3 linked regions of the Elephas maximus indicus genome follow. The protein of the gene in region 1 binds, or shares a complex with, the protein of each later gene. Links are inferred from orthologs where the notes say so. Each region holds a gene or a part of one and is shown on either strand. Other genes may lie near its edges.

Region 1 (7,652 bases):
CTGAATGCTGTCTGTCTGTGGATTCTTGCAGCTTATTAATTTTTCCACTATGTTCTTGAATAATCTTTTTGATTTCTTCAACTGGTTTATCAGCGTGTTCCTTCGCTTTTTCTGTAAATTGCCTTATTTCATTTCTGAGGTCATCCCTGATTCTTGAAGCATTCTGTAAATTAGTTTTTTATATTCTGCATCTGGCAATTCCAGGATTGTATCTTCATTTGGGAAAGATTTTGATTCTTTAATTTGGGGAGTTGTAAAAAAAATTTTTTTTTTTTTTAGAAGCAATCATGGTCCGCTTCTTTATGTGGCTTGATATCGACTGCTGTCTCCGAGCCATCTCTAAGATATTGTAATGATTTATTTTATATTTGCTCACTGAGTCTTATCTTGTTTTGTTTTCTTTCAATATACGTAGATGGGCTACTAGATTGCGCTGTCTTGATTATTGTAGCCTTTGAATCACTTATGTCCTATTACCAGCTGGTTTGGGTTGTTAGCAGATATATAAGCCTAAGAGTCCATTCACTATTCTTGAGTAGAATCTGATTTTGGGTTACCAATTGTGTGGTGTAGACTATCACCTATTCACTTAAAGGAGTAGTGGTGATAGTCGTGTGCACCAGATCCTAGTAGCGGCAGGGGGTCACACTCCAGGGGGGGCAGGATGCTGACAGGCTTCCCCCAAGTGCCATTGAGGTAGGTGTGTCTCTATTCCTAAAGCACTTTGGTGGGTGTGCTCTGCAGCTGTACCTTAGGCACCCAATGCATATACCTCTACAGATTGGGAGGTGTCACTATCCTCAGACCCCTATGGCAGGAGGCTAGGTGGTTTGGGTGGAGCTTCAGCCCTCAGTTCCCCATTGTGGGTCAGTGAAGGCTCTGTTTAATAGGTAGAGATATCAGACCAGGGAAACTTGTCTTTCCAGTAATGGGATAAAACAATTACAGTCAGATCACTATCAGAATTGCCTTTGCATTATAATAGCCACCTTGTTGCCTGTGGGGATGAAAGCCCTAGATCGTGGATCTCATATGCTTGGCTGGAGCTGGTTCTGTGTTTTTATTCCAATTTCAGGAAGTCAGGGAAGGATTTTTGGTCCCTGTTTTTTTTGTAGCTGCTTCTCTCAGGCCAGGAGAATAGGTTAGGAAAAGACAACAAAACAAAAAATTGCAGAGCACTTCACTCTCTGGCCCAGGAAATTCCAATGTTAATGAAGTGGCCTGGGAAGAAGATGGGAGGGATCAGATAGATAGGAGAGAGTAGCACCCAGGAATATAGACCAAGTTACTTATCTTACTTAGTGATGACTGTTTTATCTGAGATTCCGGAGGGGTGTATAGCCTGTGTGTGTTGGCTGGCTGGGTCGAGATTGTCCCAGAGGGTCAGGCCGGTGTCCTGTGCTTGTGCTGTCTCAGAAGCCGTGGTCAGTTCCTCTGCTTCCAGTGCAAAGCCCAGCGCCAAGTTTCCCCAGCTGGGACGACACACTCCAGGCTCCAAAACCAGTCGCTACCTCCCGGTGACTTCTCCTGTCAGCCACGTTGCTGCGCTGCCTGCGTGCACTGGCTGGGCTTCCCCCGAGGTCATTTCTGGGGGCTAGGGCTGCGTCCCGTGTTCGCACCGTCTCAGGATGCCGTGCTAAGCTCTGCTGCGCCCAGTACAAAGCCCAGCGCCAAGGTTTCCTGACTGGGATGCTGGCTCTTGGCTCCGAAAACAGTCTCTGCTTGCTGGTGGTTGCTGGTTCTCTCGTTAGCCGTTGTCAGTGTGCAGCCTGCTTGCGCTGGCTGAGTCTGTCACTCAGGTCAACTCTTTAGATCTGTGTTTGACAGTCAGGGCTTGTAGATTGTCATGTATGTGATCTATTCACTTGCTTTTCTGAGTCTTTGTTGCAAGAGGGATCCTAGGTAGCTTCTACCTAGTCAGCCATCTTGGCCCCGCCTCTTGAAATGTTTTTTGATGATGAATGCAATGCCATTCTTCTTCAAGTTGTCATTCCCAGCGTAGTAGACCATATGATTGTTTGGTTCAAAATGGCCAATACCAGTCCATTTCAGCTCACTAATGCCTAGGCTATTGATGTTAATGAGTTCCATTTCATTTTTGACAACTTCTAATTTTCCTAGATTCATACTTCATAATTCCACGTCCTCATTATTAATGGATGTTCGCAGCTGTTTCTTCTCATTTTGAGTCATGTCACTTCAGCAAATGAAGGTTCCAAAAGCTTGACTCCATCTACATCATTAAGATCAACTACTTTGAAGAGGCAGCTCTGTCCCTTTCACATTTTGAGTGCTTTCCAACCCGAGGGTCTCATCTTCCAGCACGATATGAGACAATGTTCTGCTCTTATTCAAAGGTTTTCACTGGCTAATTCTTTTGAATTTAGCTGGGTCCTTCTTCCTACTTTGTGTTAGTCTGAAAGCTCAGCTGAAACCTGTATGCCATAAGTGGCCCTGTTGGTGTTGAATACTGGTGGCATAGCTTCCAGCATCATGGTGACATGCAAGCCCCCACCATAGGACAAACTGACAGACATATGGGGGACAATCCACAGTAGCTATTGCCAAAAACTGGGAGTCATCTTTATTCCTCCTTTTCCCTCACAGTATACATTCAGTTTATTACGTAGTGTTTTGAGAGCTGCCTCCAGAATATATCCAAAATCTGACCACTTTTCTCTGTCTTTATAGTTTAAGTCAATAGTGGTTTCCTTTTGCTCTTAGACTGAATCCACACTCCTTACCTTCAGTCCACATCCAAGCAATTGTAAACTGTTTCAACTTACAATGTCTCTGATAACCTGACACTCCTTAGTTTCCATCTTGTCACACAATAGTGCAGGCCTTCCTCATCCTTGTCACGGACTGCCAGACCTTCCAGATTCTTCTCACTGTTGCCGGAGATAAGCACTATGCCACGAAGGAAGAGCAGAAACTCATTTTGGAATCTTACCTGTTGGTGTCTTGTTATTTTTAATCACCTTTATTGAGGTAAAATTTACATACTACAAGGTGCACCAATTTCAAGTGAATGAATTTTTACAAGGGAACATATCGATACAACTGATGCCAGAATTATGATACAGAATGTTTCTGTCATTCTTAGGTGTAAGAAAGTATAATAGCCCAGACTCATAAAGCAAGGGACTCTTCCTTAGGGACTCTATGACAGTTTTCTACAGAAACAACTGTTAGTAACAGGTCAGTTTCCTCTAGGCCAGTCATCTTCTACCTTGACTGTACTTTATAATCAACTGTGAAGCTTAAACATTCCCAACGCACAAGAAGCAACTTGGACCAATTACATCAAAATATTGGGATGGATCCCCGGCATCCACACTTTTAAAAAATCTTCTTAGTGCAGCAAATGTTGAGAACCTTTATCATCTTTTGCTAATGTACTTTTCAGCATCTTCTCCTTCAGATCTCACCTCATAGAACACTTCTAAGACATAGGTCCCCAGGTTTCGGAAAATTCCACCACCTGAAGCAGCTTGCTGGCATGCCCATAACCTTACATTAAAATCCTGGTTCCCCTCTTCTTAACAGCTACCCCAAACTAGAAGAGATTGGTGGAAACTGGTTTAGGAGCCATGTTGACATTCAGGATAATCTTTTAGACCCCATACATACTAACTCCTCTGGATGGAGTTTAACCGCCATTTTCTGACGATGCCATGGATGAAGTTATATGCAAACCCCATTGTGCTAGCATAGTATGATTAAAAATGTTGTTGATAGAACTTGTATGAGCTTCCTACTTGTAACCCCCTGAAAAATAACCCTCCCCTCGCCCTCGCTGAGCAGTCTCCGTGGCAGCAACCTGACTCTTCCTTTCCTTGAGCAACCAAATAAAGGCTCCTTTCTACTCTTTCACTTTGGCCTCTCTTTATTGGCTGAGGTGAGTGGTGACAAGCAGAACCTGGGGCTTCTACCGTGCACAATTTCCACAGAGAATTCTTTCCCTGAATCTCTCTTCTATATTAGGTCTTTCCTTGCTGTTACTACCTTTGCTTGTGTTTTTAGTAATGTCTGTTGCCCCACTAGACCATAAGCTCTCCATGTCTGGCACATAATAATACATGTAAATAAATGAATGCATGTGTAAATGGGAAACCCTGGTGGCGTAGTGGTTATGTACTACAGCTGCTAACCAAGAGGTCGGCAGTTGGAATCCGCCAGGCGCTCCTTGGAAACTATGTGGGACAGTTCTACCCTGTCCTATAGGGTTGCTATGAGTCGGAATCGACTCGACGGCAGTGGGTTTGGTTTTTTGGTTTATGTATAAATGAATGATTGTAACATTGTTTTAAAAAAAACCCAGGGCCGTCGAGTCGATTCTGACTCATAGCGACCCTATAACATTGTTTAGCGTGCAGTAAAAACGGGACGATGCAGGACCCGGCAGTGTTCTGTTCTGTTGTAAATAGGGTCGCTATGGGACCTGGGTGTCAGGGACTATGTAGGGAAAACCCAACCCAGCCATTTCTTTTCGGCGCAGCCGGTGCTGTCCCGCCTCCAAGCGAGAGGCGGCGCTGTGGAGATGCAGCAGTTTCCGGCCGGCTTTTCCTTTCCTTCTGCCGCCGGCGCCGGAACTTCCTGCTTTCGTTGGCCGCTCTGGGATGGCCGCCCCCACAGTAGCTGTTGCTATCTCTTAGTGGTGCCGGAACTTCCTGCTTTCGTTGGCCGCGCTGGGATGGCCGCCACCACAGTAGCTGTTGCTAGCTCTTAGTGGTGGCCCTTGCCCGGCTCGCCGACGGCAGTGCAGCTAGCCCTTTTGTTCTCTTCTCCATCGCGCTGTCCCGAAGGGCGTCGGCTTTCCCGCAGCGAGCAGTATGGGCCGGGAGTCACGGTGAGGCAACGCGCCCAGCGGGGGTGCGGGCGAGTGGCTTCTTCGGTGGAGGGAAGAGGCGGGAGTTGAGGTGGCCAAGGGGCCAGGTCTGGTCCAGCGCGGCCCCACGTGCGGCCGGCGCGGTCCCGCGGCTGCTGGTGGGGCTCGGGGCCCTCGGCTGAGGGAATGGCTGTACTTGATCTGGCTACGGGCACAGGAGTCTCCTGCATTATCGTCAGCCGATTCGAGCCCCTGGAACGGGAACAGCCCTCCCGGGTCGACTATGATTGAGCGCCACTTTCACGCAACCAACCTTGATCATTTCAGTCAGTAGTGATCCCTACTGCTTAGGGTTTGCAACATTTCCTAAGCGCCCTTCAGTCTGTATATTCGTTCTCTGTGCGTGTGTGATATTTTCCAAGTCAGTTGCAAGGAGCATGTGCACATTTTTACATAACCTACAACACCGTATAAGACTAAGCTTTAATTGAGCCACAATAAGTACATGTTACATGGGCATTTATTCTGAAAATAGGTTTCATATTTCTCTGTTACCTGGTTTCAAACTTTTTGAAACCGAAGATTGAGAGATCTTGTTAGGACTGTGAGATCTCTTCAGAACTTTAGATTGTTCATAACTGGTTCAGCACCTTGAGATTTTTATCTTAAAGATGACTGTTTGCAATGTGTTTAGCAGTGATTGAAAGAGCTTTTATTTCTAGGGACCATGAGGAGTTTTTTTAAAAATGTTAACTGTACTTTATTGGGGTATAATTATCATTCAGGGAAATATACAAAGCTTAAGGGTAGAGCTTGATGAAATTTAGCAAATATATAAACCATGTAATCATCGCCTGGGTAAGAACAATGTCACTCTGGCCGCCTTGACTTTTTTGCTATTCCTTGAGCACACCAATTAAGCTTCCTCTTCAGGATCTTTGCGCTTACAGTGCCTTTTGCTTTGAAAGTTCTTCTGCCATATATCTGTATGGTTCCTCCTGTTACTTCCTTCAAAGCCTGCATAACAAATGTTACTTTATTATGGAGGCCTTCCGTAACCACCTGATTTAAAATTGCAAACCTCTCAAGTCACATTATCTTTCCTTTTCCTTTACTCCGATCTATTTTTCTTCATAGCAACACTTGACATATTGTACGTTTATTTCTTTACGTGTCTATTAACTCTTCCTCCACCAAATATAAGCAGCCTGTAGCCCAAAGGCAGAGGCTTGGTCTGTTTTCTTCACTTTCCTTGCTTCTCTTTCAACAGTTTTCCTCCTCTCAACATGTGATGTAGCAAAAAGGTTCATTCTTTACCCCCAATTTAAAAAAGGATTGTGAAAAGAATCTTTTCAGTTTTTAATATGTCTGCTGCTATTTTGGAGGGAAATGTAATAAAATAAAATAGACTCTGTGTGAGCTAAGCTTAATATTTGAAGTAATAATATTCTAGCCACTATCGGAAGCGATCAGCATCACGTGGACGCTCTGGAAGTCGATCTAGAAGTCGTTCTCCCTCTGACAAAAGAAGTAAACGTGGAGATGACAGACGGTCTAGAAGTAGAGATAGAGATAGAAGGAGAGAGAGATCTCGTAGCAGGGATAAAAGAAGATCTCGGTCAAGAGACAGGAAGCGTCTGAGGTAAGACATAAATCTCTAAAAAACTGATGATAAATTAAGCTTCTCCAAAAGTGTGTTTTGGGCTAGAATTTAGTAGCTCCTTTGTAGACCCTCTGCTTTAACCCCAGGTTATTTGATTAGACATAGAAGTAATTCAGCTAGACCAAAAATTCTCAGACAGTATTTTAAGTTCGGAAACATCAGGCTGTCTCCTCTCACCCAGAGAGAGCCCTTAAAGGCCCCTGAGAGAGGGGGAAAAAAAAAATAAGGAGAAGGTAAGGTAATATGACTAGAGGATTCAATTTTAATTATATCCCAGCAGAACTGGAAACTGTTCAGAGCAGCCACTAAACCAGGCAGGAGAAAGAAACAGAGGGCAGAGCCATTTCCAAACCCTGCTTGTTATCTTAAAACATTTTAAATAACTCTTAGATTTAAACCAAAGAATGCCTTAATTTTAATTGTCCTTTTACTTGTTGACATGCTCGCTGGCACCAGTTAAGCAGCCTTAAATTTTTCTAGAAGTGAACATCAGTTTAAGTAAAAGTACTCTACCCTACACCAAAGATAACTTTTCTAAAACAGTTTCTCATTAAATCAGAAGGGAAAAAAAGGCAAGTTTGTACAGGTGCTATGAACTAATGACAGAAAGAACCTTGACTTTATCTTTTTCAAACATTTGGAGAAGAGAGTGCAAAGGTAGTACATGGCACTTAGGGAAAATATTCACCCGTGAGAACGTGGTTAATGCTAACTAATTCAGTTTTATATTTGGTCCCAGGAACAGTGTCATACAGTTCAGTCAAGTACACATTAAGTGAAATTGATCATTTAAGATTTGATTTTTGACTTCCTTCTGTGAAGGTTGAATAATGAGATTTTAGGTAAAGAAGGATTTTGAGATGATATAGCGAAGTCATGGTATTTTATAGATGAGGAAGCCAGTACCCAGAGAGATAGCAGAGTCTGCCCTATGTCATGTCGCTAGTTAGTAGCAATGGGTTTTTAAATCTTCAGATCAAGTAGCCCTGGTGGTGGAATGGTTAAGTGCTTGGCTACTAACTGAAAGGTTGCAGTTTGAACCTACGAGCTGCTCCGCGGGAGGAAAGACCTGACAATTTGCTCCTGTAAAGATTATAGCGTAGGAAACCCTATGGGGCAGTTCTACTCTATCCTATAGGGTCACTATGATTCAAAATC
Region 2 (7,616 bases), on another chromosome or scaffold:
AGTCCTAAAAAGTGGGCTATACTCAGGTCTGATTCCTCTTCTGGCCCCATTCCAATCCCATCACTAGGGCTGGGGCTGTCTAAGCAGCAGGGCAGGGGTTGCTGGTTGGGGGTGGGGGTCCTAGCGTGCAGGAGCTCTGTGTCCACCGAGTGTCTTCTCATTTCATTTCAGCTCCATTTTACGGAGAGATGGGCAGAGGGGTGGCCATGGGGCTCCCCCCTCCAGATTCTGTAATAAAGCAGTGTGAGAAAGCTCCGGCCTCATGTGTTTGTCTGGGGGAAGGGGAGGGAAGGAAGCTTCCTTTGCGGACCAGGAGATGCTGAAGCTCTTCCTAGACCTCTTCTGTGCGGGGCTGAGAGGGAGGTGGCCTGGACTCAGGGTGGGAAGTCCCTCCCGAAGAAGGAATCCCGAAAGAAGGGTTCCCAGCCACAGCTACCATCCCTCTCAAGCTTAGCGGGCCTCCCTCCTGCTGGCACAGGGCTTTCTCCTCCTTGTGGGGAAAGGAGGGTCAGGGTGGGGGGGGCGGGAGTAGAAGTGGGGTTACCTCTGGTACAGATCGCCCCCACCCCTCACAGCCCTTCTCAAATCCTGCAGAGCACCTCGTCCGGATCCCCAGTCTGAGCCCAGACCCTCAGCCCGCTTTCCCCCTCTTCCCAGGGATTAGCGGGGGCGGCCCGGGATCCGCTCTCGCGGCCGCACGTTTTTTGCCAAAAAAGGCAAGGATGCAGCTGCACGCGCCGCGGGAACATCTGGATCCAATTCCCGGCATGAATGGGTCATGGCCCCGCCCCCTCCCCCGTGATTCACGGGCGGGGGCGTGAATGAGCGTGGAGGGCTAACCCCCGAAGTGGGGAGATGGGGCGGAGCGCTGCACCCCTCACCCAGCGTCCCACGCCGGGGCCCCCAGCCCCCTCGGCGGCCTGCGGTCTGGGCCGCCGCCATCTGACTGGTGGAGGCAGCTTTGCGCGCGCACGCGGCACGCGCGGGCTGATGCGCACACAGAGGACCGCCGGCAGCCGCCCCTCGGTGTGAGGGTGCGGGCGGACCGTGGGCGATCTGTGGGGTGGGGCTCACTCCTAGTCCGGCGGAAACCGCGCGATCAGATGTAGCTCACGTTAAACCTTCCCAGAAACCTGTGGGGCATTACTTCCATTTTACAGAGGAGAAGACCGAGACTCAGGCGGTTGCCCAAAGTCTTGTAGGTAGTCACTAATCCTGGATTCTAATCTGCATTACACTGCCTCCCGGGCCCAGTCCTAAACTATCTGAGGAAAGGGTTGGCATTTTCAACACACCATTCCCAGTGCCCAGTGCGCTTACCATGATTAATAATTGCATGTTTACGTTTTTGTTTCTCTCCTTGACCGTCAGAATTGGGCTGGGGCTTCCCTTGTTTCCCCTTCCATTCCCAGCTCCCGGCACTTACTACAAGTTCGGTGAGTATTTGTCGAGTAGGAGCAGTCCAAGCGTAGAAAACAGGTGGTGCAAAGGCCTGGAGGCCTGAAAACATATGGTGCTTTGGGGAAGCACCAAGTAATTTAATCTGGAAAAAGTGCCAGGAGACTAAAATGGCAGGCAAAGCCCAGGTCACGGAAAGCCAAGTGCCAAGTTAAACAGACCTCACCCTGCGGGTAAAGCAGCTAATGGAAATGTTCAAGCAGGGGCGTGAGATGATCGCAGTTTTGGAAAGATCACTTGGGCTGTGGCATGAATAATGGATTGGAGGAGTAAGATGAGCAAGCTGGTTAGGCGGGTGGTGCAGTGGTCCAGGTGAGAGAGGATGAGGCAGGTGGCAGGTGGCAGTAGGAGTGGAAAAGACAGGACTGATTTGATGGAGTGGGGATAGAAAAGGGGTTTAGGAGGAGGTAGGCATCAAGTTTGAGGCAAAGGGAAGGAATGAATGGCGGTGCTTAAATGTTCCACCCACCTAAGAGGAAGAGATACCCTGGTACGATACCACATTTCATTGATTTCAAGACATTTTCCAGGTTTAAGATCTCAGAATCCTGAGATGCATTTTATAATTGACAGTGTCAATTATAAAACTGGGTCATAATTTGACAGTTTTCCTTTCTTTTTGGAGCTTAAAATAATGGTAAGTTTTACATTTGATGGTATCTCTTATTGGATGAAATAGGACAGATCACCAACCTTACAAAAAATAATAATAATAAACACCCTGAGTTACTCCACTCCAGAATGGAGATTTCTCCCTTCTTTCCTAGGGGCCCAGGAAAAGCCCCAGAGGGCAGCTGTGCCTGGGGTCCCCCATTCTCAAACACTGGAGGTCTTGCTTATATTTTCAGATGCAAATATGATCCTCACAACACCCTCATGAGTAGGCAAGACAAGGGTCATTACCCCCATTTTATTTTTCAAACTTTAAAAACCAGAAGATAATTTTTTTTTTTTTTGCAAAAAGCAACGTGTATTCCTTGTAGAAAAATTGTTATTGTTCTGTGCCCTGAAGTCAATTCCAACTCATAAAAACCAGTCCAGTGCCTACCCTGTGCCTAGCAACCCTATATGACAGAGTAGAACTGCCCCATAGGGTTTCCTAGGCTGTAGTCTTTACGGGAGCAGATCACCAGGTCTTTTCTCCCACAAGCCGCTAGGGGGTTCAATCCACTGACCTTTTGGTTACCAACCAAGCTCTTAACCATTGCTCTGCTGGGGCTCCTTGTAGAAAAATTAGACACTACCAAAGAGTAAAGAGAACAAAAGGTAAAAAAATAACTCCTTGATGCATTACAGCTTTCTAGTCCTTTTTTGTTAAGCATATACATGCATATATATATTTTTTTAGTTTAAATTTATTTTTAAATTAAAAAAATAGTACATGAATACATTAAACAAAACTTTTCACACTGTATTTTGGGTATATACAAAGAAAAACTTTTCTCTCATACCACATGTGCCAGTCCATCTTCTGGAAAACAACCATTGTTTAGTGTTACTTGGATATTCTTACAGAAATCATCTCTGTATATCTTTTATACACACTGTTGAGCATCCACCTTTTTTGACTTTTCCTGGCCATCTTTTCACATGAGTTCACACTGATTTTTTGACAGCTTCATTGAAGTATAATTTACAAACCGTAACATTCACTCATTTTAAATGTATAATTCAATTATTTCTAGTATATTAATAGAGTTGTGGAACTATCACCACCATCCAATTTTAGAACCTTTCCATCACCCCAAAAAGATACTTGGTGTCTATTTGCAGTCACTTCCAGTCTTGCCTCCAACCCCTGGCAACCACTCATCTACTTTCTGTCTCCATGGATTTGCCTTTCTGAACATTTCATATAAATGGAATCATACACTATGTCATTTTAGTATCTAGGTTTTTTTTACTGGCTTTTTTTTTTTTTTTTTTTAACTGGCATTATGTTTTCAAGGTTCCTCCATATTGTAGCATTACGTGGATATGCCGAATTTGGTTTATACACTCACCAGTTTAGGTTGTGTCCAGTTTTTCTGTCAATTGTGAATTATAAACAGATGCCCATATAAGCACACAGCTGTAGGTCTTCATTTCTCTACCTAGAAATGAATATACAGATTTCTTCCCCCTTTTTTTTTCAATGATTGGATGTACTACACTTTATCAATCTAGTCCTCAACTGGAGCCCAGAAACCCTAGTGGTTAAGTGCTACAGCTGCTAATCAAAGGTTGGCAGTTTGAATCCACCAGGAGCTCCTTGGAAACTCCATGGGGCAGTTCTACTCTGTCCTACAGGGTCACTATGAGTCGGAATCAACTCCACCGCAATGGGTTTGGTTGTTTTTGTCTGCTGGAGCCCTGGTGGCATAGTAGTTAAGAGCTTGGCTGCTAAACAAAAGGTTAGCACTTGGAATCCACCAGCCGCTCCTTGGAATCCCTATGGAGCAGTTCTGTTCTTTCCTACAGGGTAGCTATGAGTCAAAATCAACTGGACAGCTAAGGGGTTTTTTGTTTGTTTGTTTTTAAGTCTGCTGCTGTGAACCCTGGTGGCAGAGTGGTAAGAGCCACGTGGGCTAAACAAAAAATTAGCAGTTCGAATCCACAAGTCACGCTTGAAAACACCATGAGATAGTTCTACTCTGTCCTATAGGGTCACAAAGAACCGGAATCAACTCCATGGCAACGAGTTTGGTTTTTGGTTTGGTTGGCACCCCGCTGAAAGGCAATTAAATTGTTTCCATTTGTAAGTTTCTACAAAAAAAAATCTGTTATTATCCCCATTTTACTGAAAAGGACATTGAGGTCCAGAAAAGAGGCAAATGTTGTCAGAGGTCACCCTGAAAGCTAGGGACTCAAGTTCTGATCCTCCAATTCCCATCGCGTGCTCCTCAACTGCTCCTGAATCCAGACAGGATCCCCAGCGGCCCAGACGGCCCCACGAAGCTCCGTGAAGCCCTAAGAAGCCAGCAGCTGAATTCAGGCTCTTGGATTTCCATTCGCCCACCAGAGGAATCTGCAAACCGCTCGGTAGCGGGCCACACACCCCGACCAGCAGGGGGCAATGCTGCCATCGCGATAGCACAGGCTGGCGCTCCTCGCGGTGCCCCTTTTCCTCGAGTCCCCAAGGCACTTCCGGCACTTACGGAACTCTAGTGCAGCCGGACGTGCCGCGTGGGGACGCAGGCGCTCAAGGCGGCGGGAGCTGCTTCTGGCCGCGTCGCTGATCTGAAGTGAGGTACAGCGGCCAAGGGAAAAATGGAGACAATTCTGGAGCAGCAGCGGCGATACCACGAGGAGAGGGAACGGCTCATGGACGTCATGGCCAAAGAGATGCTCACTAAGAAGTCCACGGTGAGTAGGGTCTGGGCCCCTTCCCCGGGTTTAGCCGCCGAGCGCGCTCTTTGGCCTCAGACCCGCCCTCCTCCTGCCCCCCACCCTCCCGGGGGCTCCCTCTCCGAGCTCCGGCCTCGGCAACCTCCTCCTCAGGCCCAGCGCCCCGGCGGCCTCTTCGCTTCTGCCGCTGAACCTGCGAAGGTAAGCTCCGCCCTCGGGCGGCCTTTCCACCCCCAGGCCTGGGACTAACGGCGTCTGTGTCACCGTTTGTCTGTCTTCAGCTCCGGGACCAGATCAATTCCGACCACCGCACACGGGCCATGGAAGATGTGAGTGCTCCGCTGTCCTTTGGTCGGGGGGCGGGAAAGGAGAGGAGCGGGGAGGCGGGCGGAGCACGGGGTCTCACCGGGAGCCCTGGCCAGAGCTCACCTGACTGGCCAGGGTTGTCCGCCTGCAGCCGAACCTGAGGCTCCTGAGCTGCTCCTCCTCACTTTCCTGAGTGGGGAGCGCTTCCTCTTCATTACTCGGAAAGTAATGCCTTCTGTGTCCCTTGGATGTGCGAAAAATAGTGAGGAGGACTCAGTGACTCAGACACAGAAGGTACTGTTGTGTCCCCGCAAAACGAGAATGCTGTGTTAGTGTTTCCCTTCCAGACCTCTCTTTTGAAATGTTTTTGTTTACCAAAGTGCTTTTGCCCAGTTAGATTTTCTTATTTGAAAAAAAGAAAACTAAAGTAAAATGTTGGTAATAAAGTTGGGTGATGGGTAAATGGAGATTCATTATACTACTTTTTCATGTATTTGAAATCTGCTCAGAAAGGATTAAAGGCCTAATTAGATTTTTTTTATTTGCAGGAGATAAACATTACTACCAGTCCTGTCCCTTATCTACATCCCCAAATCCAAAAACAGTTTGTAAATCGATAGGTTTTTTGGTGGCAAAACATAATGTGGCCTCATTTGGCAGCAAAACCTGCCCTGAGCAGATGAGAGGCTTTTTATGGTGTTTCTTATTCCACTTCGCCCTGGTGGCACAGTGTTTAAGCACTTGGCTGCAATTGGCATCCACCAGCTGCTCCTTGGTAACCCTATGGAGCAGTTCCACTCTATCCTATAAGGTGGCTCTGAGTCAGAATTGAGTCAACAGCAACAGGTTTTGTTTTTTTTTTTAGTTTATTATCCCACTTAAGGAGCCATGGTGGGGCAGGGGTTAAGCACTTGGCTGCTAAGAGAAAGGTGGGCCTGTTGACATGGCAATCACTTCTGCTTCCACAAAGATTACAGTTTTGGAAACCCTATGGGGCAGTTCTACTCTATTTTATAGGGTTGTTATGAGTCAGAATCTATTCCACGACAATGAATTTTATGTACTAATTAACCCAATTTGGTATCAATCCAAAGGTTTTAAGTTATGTAAAGATCTTGAAAATTATCTACAAGCCTATATACCACAAAACAATTACTGTTAAAATAAAATTTGTTTACATAGTTTAAATTTTTTTCCAAACTTTTCACCATTTTCCATATTTTTCAATCTAACTGTAGCCCTTTTAAGATTTCGTCAACTGGTTTTGGACCACCACAGGGATGGAACCATTTTTCCAAGCAATTTTGATGCATTTTTATTGTGATTTTTATGTTTTTACTTCTTAAAAATTTCTTTACAATAGAGAGGACTTGTTTATGGTTCTTACTAAGACAGCGTTTGTTTTATTTTAACCCAATCAATATCCGCCTTATTTATCCAGTTTTTAAATATCTCCGCCCTGTTGGGAAGAGTCTCTCAACTCTTTCTTTTGTCTTTACTAGTCTTTTGGTAATTGGCGTAGCCTTATTTCCTTAAATAAAACCTTTTCTTTAACAGATTTATAGAAAAACGCATCAAGTTTTAACTTTTATTTCCATCTGGGTTTGTCCCGTTGTTGTTGTTGTTAGGTGCCATTGAGACAGTTCCGACTCTTAGGGACCTTATGTACAACAGAATGAAACACTGCCCAGTCCTGGGCCATCCTCACAATCTTTGCTATGCTTGAGCCGGTTGTTGCAGCTTCTGTGTTAGTCCAACTCATGGAGGGTCTTCGTTTCTTCCACTGACCCTCTACATTATCAAGCATGATGTCCTTCTCCAGGGACTAATCCCTCCTGATTACACGTCCAAAATACATGAGATGAGTCTCGCCATCCTCACTTCTAAGGAACGTTCTGGCTGTATTTCTTCCAGGACAGACTTGTTTGTTCTTTTGGCAGCCCATGGTAAATTCAGTGTTCTTCGCCAACGGTGTAATTCAAAGGCATCAGTTCTTCAGTCTTGCTTATCTGTTGTTCAGCTTTCGCATGATATGACGTGATTGAAAATATAGTAATCCTCCCTTATCTGCAGGGAATACATTCCAAGATCCCCTGTGGATGCCTGAAACTGGGGATAGTACGGAACCCTATATATACTATTTTTGGTCCTATATATACGTACATAACTATGGTGAAGTTTAATTTATAAATCAGGTACAGTAAGAGATTAGCAACAATAATAAAATAGGATAATTACAATAATATAGTGTAATAAAAGTTATGTGAATGTGGTCCCTGGGCAGGACGGAGTGGGACGGCACAAAATTTCAGTATGCTACTCATATAACACTTTTGGACTGAGGTTGGCCTCAGGTAACTGAAACTGTAGGAAGTGAAACCTTGGGTAAGGAGGGGCCACTGTACCATGACTTGGGTCGGCACACCTTAGTCCTCAAGTGAAATCTTTGCTTTTTAACACTTTAAAGAGGTCTTTTGCAGCAGATTTGTCCTATGCTTCCCTTTGTCACATTCTGGAACAACCAA
Region 3 (7,927 bases), on another chromosome or scaffold:
TAGAAGTTTCAACTGTGTTAAATTACAGCATATTCAGTCGCACGAATTAACATAGAAGGCTTTCTGTGGGTAACACTTGTACTAACTAAAGCGTAAATGCGAGATTCCAAAAAACCAAACCCGTTGCAATGAAGTCGATTCCAATTCATGGCAACCATATAGGACAGAGTAGAACTACCCCATAGGGCTTCCAAGGCTATAATCTTTAAGGAAGCAGACTGCCACAGCCTTCTCCTCCCCTACAGTGGCTGGTGGGTGCGAACAGCCGACCTTTCAGGTAGCAGCTGAGCGCTTAACCACTGTGCCACCAGGGATCCTTAATGCAAGATTAGTTACCTTAAATAGTACACTGTGCCTGAAATGATAAAGAATAAAGAAACACGGGTACTTGGATTATTAACACAAAAGTCTGAGATACTATTAAGGCATTGTAAATTGATGTTGACACCTTTTTTAGTTGTTGCATTTATAAATTACTTCTTCTCCACATTCTACTTGAATAAGACCACAGGTACATGTAATGAAGGAGCAGTTAACAGTAAAGCAGATCAAAAACCAACAGTCAACCTGAAATGCTGTAGACAAACATACAAATAACCTAAGACACAGAATCAAATTTTCTTTTACTATATAGACACAAGAGCGTATAAACCAAAAAACCAAACCTAGTGCCATCGAGTCGATTCCGACTCATAGTGGCCCTATAGGACGGAATAGAACTGCCCACTAGAGTTTCCAAGGAGCGCCTGGCAGATTCGAACTGCCAGCCCTTTGGTTAGCAGCCACAGCACTTACCCACTACCCGACCAGGGTTTCTGTCACACAAGTGTATAGGTACACTAACTACTTAAGTATCTGCATGCAGAGAGCATGCAGTAATGGAATCCTGATTTAGCGTACACAGAATGGTAAAACTCAATATTCATTTTAACTCTATCACTAATTGAATCACAAGATCGTTTAGTGTCAAACAAACCCAACTCACATCGATCTACCTGACTTTTAGGGAAAAGCATTACTGCCCGAAGAAAAAAATGTTGTTATATCTTCTTGCCAATCGATTATTAGGCATACATAGCAATTAGGAAACAAAAAAAGTTTGAAGAACTATGGGCGTCCACAGCATAAAAAACAGAGTCACAAATTAATCCATTACCAGACTACCGTTAAAAGTACTCCGAAGGCGGAAGAAACCAAATTTGTACCCCAGCTGGCACTGCCACTAGAGGAGCGAAATAGTAAATCTTAACAATTTGGTAGGATTAGAATATACAGACAAATATGAAACAAGAAAGAAAAAAGTTGGAATGAAGAACATTTTCAATAACAGTCAAGTTACACCACGGAGATACTTTTTTTTATCATTGGCTTCCAAGTCAATTAGTGTGCTATCATATCCTTTTCTTCCCATCCATATGACGCTTAGATTAACAGGGTACTTTTACCACCATGCTTACTGAACCAAGTTTAACACTAGTTATTTTACTTCCGAGCTGACAGAAAATACCTAATATGTTCCAAGTACTTCAAACAAACATACGCAGAACTCTTCCATCCACATTTTGTGCTTTTATGGCTCTACCATACATGCCGAGGTACAAAATTTAGTAGGGAAGAAGAGAGTGGCGCAAAGTTCATTCAGTGAAGATATATAAATGGCTACTTAAAAAAAAACTGATCAAGAAGATGCATTTTGCACATCGTCCATAAACTAAAACTCTGAATTCCCAGGATAAGTGAGGTTGGCTACCGGAGACCAACAGCTACTAAATTTGTTCTTGGTGGTTTTCCTTTTTGCAATAAAAAGCAGTCACTAATGTAATAACCAACTATGACCTTCACAGAGAAAACTAACAAGGCACAGAAAAGACTTAAGGATTACATTTGTGACATCTCCCTAAAGATTTATGCTCCTTTACACATCTATTCATCTATAGGGTCGCTTTGAGATGAACCGGTGTGTAAAGAAACGTAAATCTTTAGGGAGATGTCACAAATGTAATCCTTAAGTCTCTTCTGTGCCTTACTAGTTTTACATATGAAGGTCACAGTTGGTTATTACATTAGTGACTGCTTTTTATTGCAAAAAGGAAAACCACCAAGAACAAATTTAGTAGCTGCTGATCTCAGGTAGCCAACCTCACTTATCCAGGGAATTCAGAGTTTTAGTTTATGGACGATGTGCAAAATACATCTTCTTGATTAATGAAAAAAAAAAAAAGTAGTCCTTTACATATCTCTACTGAATGAACTTTGCGCCACTCTTTCCTTTCCTACTAAATTTTGTACCTAGGCATAGCGTCGCTAAGTCGGAATCTACTAGACGGCAACCGGTTTTACACATCGGTTCTACAACAGACACAACAAAAAGCAATGTCTCTATCCATGGGACTCTAACTCAGGATCTCAGCAGAGAAAATGTAAAAGGAGTGTCCCGCAAGGTTGGCCCGCTCTGCAGTGGCACCCATGTCACTCTTTACCTTCGGGAACCAAGCTTTCTTGTCTAGATCCCACTCGTAGGGGGTGTCAGTCGGCTGTTGCCCCAAAGAATCGGCTTCTCCGCCGGGATCTTCCTGGGGGTCGCCGTCCTTCGGGTCTCCGTACAATTCTTGCATCCGCAACTGCTCATCAAACTCGTCGTTCCCACTCAAGTTGTTGCCGCTCATGTTTCCGACCTAGCCGCGGGGTAGGGTCCCCGTGAGCAAAGAGGCCGCGATGTGCTGGAGGGACACAGAGACGGCGAGGTCCGCGCGGCCGCCGCGCCCCCGGCCCGCCTCCCGCGGCGCCCCAGCAGCCCCCGGGACGCGGAGCCGCCCGCCGCCCGCCGCGCGCGTGCCGCCGCCGTCCGCCGCCGCCGCCCACCTGACTCGCTCTGCCGGCCTCCGTCCAGGGCGCCGCGGGAGCGCACGCGCGCCGCCGCCGCCGCCGCCGCCGCCGCCGCCAAGCGGTTCTGAAGCGACTGCGGCTCCCGCGGCAACGTCAGGAAATGACTTCCAAACGGAACCCCGCTCAAGCTGACGCAGCCGCCATAGTCGGCACGTCGCGACGTCGCGGGTCGCGCCGGCACGCCCCCAATGGCGTCAGCATGCGCCTGCGCGCCGGCGGTGGCACTTGGCCGGGGCGGGGTGTCGGGGGGCGCGTGCTCCCGTGCTTGGACGCTCCGTGGGCCCCCTGCGGGCCGGGGCGAGGGGCGACAGCACCCTGCCGTTCCACCGCTCTTAGGGGACCTCGGGCTGGGAGGGCGGTCCCCCGAAGGCGTGGGAATCGTCCTTCTCGGCGAGCGACATCGTGGGGAATGGGTGGGACCGCCGGACAGGTTTCCCTAGCCCAGGGAAAGAGACGCGGCTCCTGCAACCGAAGGCTTCTCCCGCACACGAACTGTGTCTTTTGGTTATTTGTTTCTGGTGTCGTTAGTATAGAAGCTTAAAAAAATAGCTCTTGTTTATTTCGGTAGTCTACACGCCTAGCACTGGGGTTGGTACTTAGGGCGTTGAACAAGTGAGTGAGTGCATGAATGAACGAGTGATGGGTAGAAGGACCAGCCTTCTTTTCCAGGTCTTCCCCCCCGCCCCCCAGCCCTCGTTCGCTTTCCTTCCTTGGGCTGGAGATCGACTCTGGGGAGTGAGGCGGGGCGGCAGTTGCCTGCCTTATGTACTCCAGGGTTCCCCCCCACAAAAAAAAAACCCACTGCCGTGGAGTCGATTCCGACTCAGCGACTCCAGGGTTCAGGGATGTTCAAATCCCAAACCTGAAACTTAAAGGAACTTCCGAGTGTAAACATCGGCTTTACTAGCCAAGCGACTGAATCCGTTCTTTTGGGTTTCTTCTAGAAAGACACAACATGCTTTTCCTCTAAACAGAACTTTATTCAGAAATTAGATACACTGTTGAAAATCAGGAGCCCTGGTGGCGCAGTAGTTAAGAGCTCGGCTGCTAACCAAAAGGTTGGCCGTTCAAATCCACCAGCCACTCCTTGGAAACCATGGGGCAGTTTCACTCTGTCCTATAAGGTCGCGATGAGTCGGAAACGACTTGTCAGCAATGGGTTTGATTTTTTGGGGGGGGGGGGGTTGAAAAGAGCCATTTTCAGAATTCTCTTTTTTAATTGGACAAATAGCTGTTGAGCGCCTACTAGGTGTCAGGCATTGTGCTAGGCTCTGGCGACCCAGCAGTTAACAAGACAGACACAACTAAGAGGAGACAGACTCAAGATGGTATGATATTAATATTGAATGCTAGAGAACAGTGGTTCTCAAACTTTTTGGTCCCAGGACCCCTTTACCCAAAAATTAACAAAGGCCCCAAATAACTTGTTTATATGAATTTTTTTATTGATGTTTGCTGTATTAAAATTAAAACCCATTTTAGAAAGACTTATTAACTCATTTAAAAATAATAATAAGCTCATGTGTACACATAAATATAACTCAGACTTGATGTTCCCAGTGACCTTGGCTTCTAAACATAGCAGTTGAGTCTGGGTTCTACAGAATCCTGGCTCCCCACATAGATTTACAATCTAGTTTCCACCATAGCAACAGTTTTTAAATAGAAGTTTGTCTTTTTTTTAAGTTGCATATCTTTTTCATGAAGCTCTCGTTCTTGGGAGGGGAGGACTATTTGGAGAACCGAAGTTGCATGCGTTTTTATAATATAGACAACACAGGTTTTATTAGATTCATTTTAAACATTGCTAAAGATTTCTTATCCAAAAATAGTATACAGCTGTTTCCAGCAATGTGTAACTGGGTTCCCATTTCATTCCTGAGTGAGTTCACAGCATAGGTGATGATATGCTACACAGTCCTACAGCACTACAGCCTTTAGGACTACAGTCCTGCAGACTCTGAGTCCCTGCTGTCCCCACAGTCCTCTTCTAAGCAGGTAGCCAAAAAAGTTCCTTATGCCTAGGTCCCATGTGACCCAGCTAGCCTGGCCCAAAGGCTGGCCAGAACATTGTGAAGTGACCTGGCAGGGTAGCTATGCATTCTGGACTGAGTTTGACTAACTGAGTCCATCAGAGCCTCTCCCAGGGAGTATGATTATGGAACAGACAGTGGGATGTGGTCAGAGCAGCAGAGAAGCAGGAAGACCCACACAGGGAAGGCAATAAGCAGAACAGATGAGTGCTGTGAAGACATTCCCCCGGAGTAAGAGGAGAAGCTAAAGCAGCATCAGAGGGTCAGAGTTACCATAATGGCGGAGCAAGGGATTTGGGAGCTAAGCACCCTTGCGCCTGCAATGACATTCTACCTGACCATGAGACCTGACAGTTGTTTTTTTTTTTTTTCAAGAGAGCCTATTTTATTTATTTTCCTCTTTTTTTAAATTGTACTTTAGATGAGGGTTTACAGAGCAAACTAATTTCTCATTAAACAATTAGTACACATATTGTTTTGTGACATTGGTTTCCGACCCCGTGACATGTCAACACTCTACTCTTCTCAACCTTGGGTTCCCCGTTACCAGCTTTCCTGTCACCTCCTGCCTTCTTGTCCTTGCCCCTGGGCTGGTGTGTCCATTTAGTCTCCTTTTGTTTTATGGGCTTGTCTAATCCTTGCCCAAAGGGTGAGCTTCAGGAGTGACTACTCAGCTAAAAAGGTATCCAGGTGCCATACTCTCAGGATTTCTCTAGTCTGTGTCAAACCAGAAGCATTGGTCTTTTTTGTGAGACCTCTCAGAGCAGTTGGTGGTGGTAGTTGGGCACCATCGAGTTGTGCTGGACTCTGACATTTATATTTCTAACAATGTTATTGTCTCTGGGAAGCTGGGTTCTTGTTCTTATTTTTCTGGGTATTTGTAGAATAAAAGCAGTTGCTGTTAACCCGATTCTGACTGATGGCAACCCCATGTGTTTCGTAGTACAACTGTGCTCCATAGGGTTTTCGATGGCTGATTTTTCAGGAGTAGATCGCCAGGCCTTTCTTCTGAGGTACCTTTTCGTGGGTTTGAACCTCCTACCTTTCAGTTATCAGCCAAGCATGTTAACTGTTTGCACTACCTGTGGACTCCATTTATAGAATAACTCCCTAGTAATTGAGATACTCTGGTAGCATCCAAAGGTCCCTGCGTGGCACAGACGGCTTGTACTCAATTGCTAACCTCAAGATTGGTGGTTAGGTTGAACCCACCCAGCAGCACCACAGAAGAAAGGACTGGTAATCTGTTTCCATAAAGATTACAACCAAGAAAACTCAATGGGGCAGTTCTACTCTGTAACACATGGGGTTGCCATGAGCCAGGATAGACTCAATGGCAACAGGTTTTTTTGCTTTGCTACCATCCCTGTCTTCTCAACCTTTTTCAAGATTTTTTGCAAGTCACAGGAGCACTCAAGGTAACAAGTTGTTTTTGGGTGTCATCAAGTCAATTACAACTCATAGCAATCCTGTAGGACAGAGTAGAATTGCCCCATAGGGTTTCCAAGGCTATCATCTTTTTTAAATTTTTTATTGTGCTTTAAGTGAAAGTTTACAAATCAAGTCAGTGTCTCATACAAAAATTTATGTACACCTGGCTATATACTCCTAGTTGCTCTCCCCCTAATGAGACAGCACACTCCTTCCCTCCATTCTATTTTCATGTCCATTCGGCCAGCATCTGACCCCCTCTGCCCTCTCATCTCCCCTCCAGACAGGAGCTGCCTACATAGTCTCATGTGTCTACTTGATCCGAAAAGCTCACTTCTCACTAGTATCATTTTCTACCCCATAGTCCAGTCCAGTCCCTGTGTGAAGAGTTGGCTTCAGGAATGGTTCCTGTCTTGGGCTAACAGAAGGTCTGGGGGCCATGACCACTGGGGTCCTTCCAGTCTCAGTCAGACCATTAAGTCTGGTCTTTTTACGAGAATTTGGGGTCTGCATCCCACTGCTCTCCCGCTCCCTCAGGGGTTCTCCGTTGTGTTCCCTGTCAGGGCAATCATCGGTTGTAGCCAGGCACCATCTAGTTCTTCTGGCCTGAGGCTGATGTAGTCTCTGATTTATGTGGCACTTTCTGTCTCTTGGGCTCGGAATTACCTTGTGTCTTTGGTGTTCTTCATTCTCCTTTGATCCAGGTGGGTTGAGACTAATAGATGCATCTTAGATGGCTGCTTGCTAACATTTAGGACCCCAAATACCACTCTCCAAAGTTGGATGCAGAATGTTTTCTTAATAGATTTTATTATGCCAATTGACTTAGATGTCCCCTGAAACCGTGGTCCCCAAACCCTCGCCCCTGGTACTCTGGCCTTCGAAGCATTCTGTTTATTCAGGGAACTTCTTTGCTTTTGGTTTAGTCCAGTTGTGTTGACCTCTCCTGTATTGTGTGTTTTCTTTTCCTTCACATAAAATAGTTTTTATCTACTATCTAATTACTGAAAACTCCTCTCCCTCCCTCCTTCCCCTCTCTCATAACCATCAAAGAATATTTTCTTCTCTGTTTAAACTATTTTTTGAGTTCTTATAATAGTGGTCTTGCAACTGACTAATTTCACTCAGCATAATGCCTTCCAGATACCTCCATGTTATGAAATGTTTCACGGATTCATCATTGTTCTTTATTGATGCGTAGTATTCCATTGTGTGAATATACCATAATTTATTTAACCATTCATCCATTGATGGACACCTTGGCTGCTTCCATCTTTTTGCTATTGCAAACAGTGCTGCGATGAACATGGGTGTGCATATATATCTGTTCGTGTAAAGGCTCTTATTTCTCTAGGATATATTCCAAGGAGTGGGATTGCTGGATTGTATGGTAGTTCTATTTCTAGCTTTTTTGGGGTTTTTGTTTTTATTACTATAGAGGGGGTAGCTGCTGAAACTCCAGCACTGGAGTGCAGATGGGCCTCATGAGGAGGTACTGTACCTAGGAGGAGGAGCCAGTTGGAACCCAGACATCCTGCTTCTCTCTGGATAGCTGCTTCATTCTTCTCTCTCTGATC

Evidence for each region.
Region 2: DDX46 (region 1) and SF3A3 share a complex: the UniProt entries of both Homo sapiens proteins name them as parts of the 17S U2 SnRNP complex. The link is inferred for Elephas maximus indicus from reciprocal best matches to the Homo sapiens genes DDX46 and SF3A3.
Region 3: DDX46 (region 1) and HTATSF1 share a complex: the UniProt entries of both Homo sapiens proteins name them as parts of the 17S U2 SnRNP complex. The link is inferred for Elephas maximus indicus from reciprocal best matches to the Homo sapiens genes DDX46 and HTATSF1.

The regions. Positions count from the first base shown.
Region 1 is NC_064820.1:147,205,491-147,213,142, forward strand, and holds the start of DDX46 (probable ATP-dependent RNA helicase DDX46), read left to right. Parts: upstream 1-4,606; 5' UTR 4,607-4,835; coding exon 4,836-4,852; intron 4,853-6,284; coding exon 6,285-6,473; intron 6,474-7,652. UniProt on the Homo sapiens protein: Component of the 17S U2 SnRNP complex of the spliceosome, a large ribonucleoprotein complex that removes introns from transcribed pre-mRNAs.
Region 2 is NC_064821.1:79,566,997-79,574,612, reverse strand, and holds the start of SF3A3 (splicing factor 3A subunit 3), read left to right. Parts: upstream 1-4,593; 5' UTR 4,594-4,707; coding exon 4,708-4,803; intron 4,804-5,022; exon of another isoform or gene 5,023-5,066; coding exon 5,067-5,114; intron 5,115-7,616. UniProt on the Homo sapiens protein: Component of the 17S U2 SnRNP complex of the spliceosome, a large ribonucleoprotein complex that removes introns from transcribed pre-mRNAs.
Region 3 is NC_064846.1:19,395,146-19,403,072, forward strand, and holds the start of HTATSF1 (HIV Tat-specific factor 1), read right to left. Parts: upstream 3,034-7,927; 5' UTR 2,863-3,033; intron 2,775-2,862; exon of another isoform or gene 2,676-2,774; 5' UTR 2,667-2,675; coding exon 2,481-2,666; intron 1-2,480. UniProt on the Homo sapiens protein: Component of the 17S U2 SnRNP complex of the spliceosome, a large ribonucleoprotein complex that removes introns from transcribed pre-mRNAs.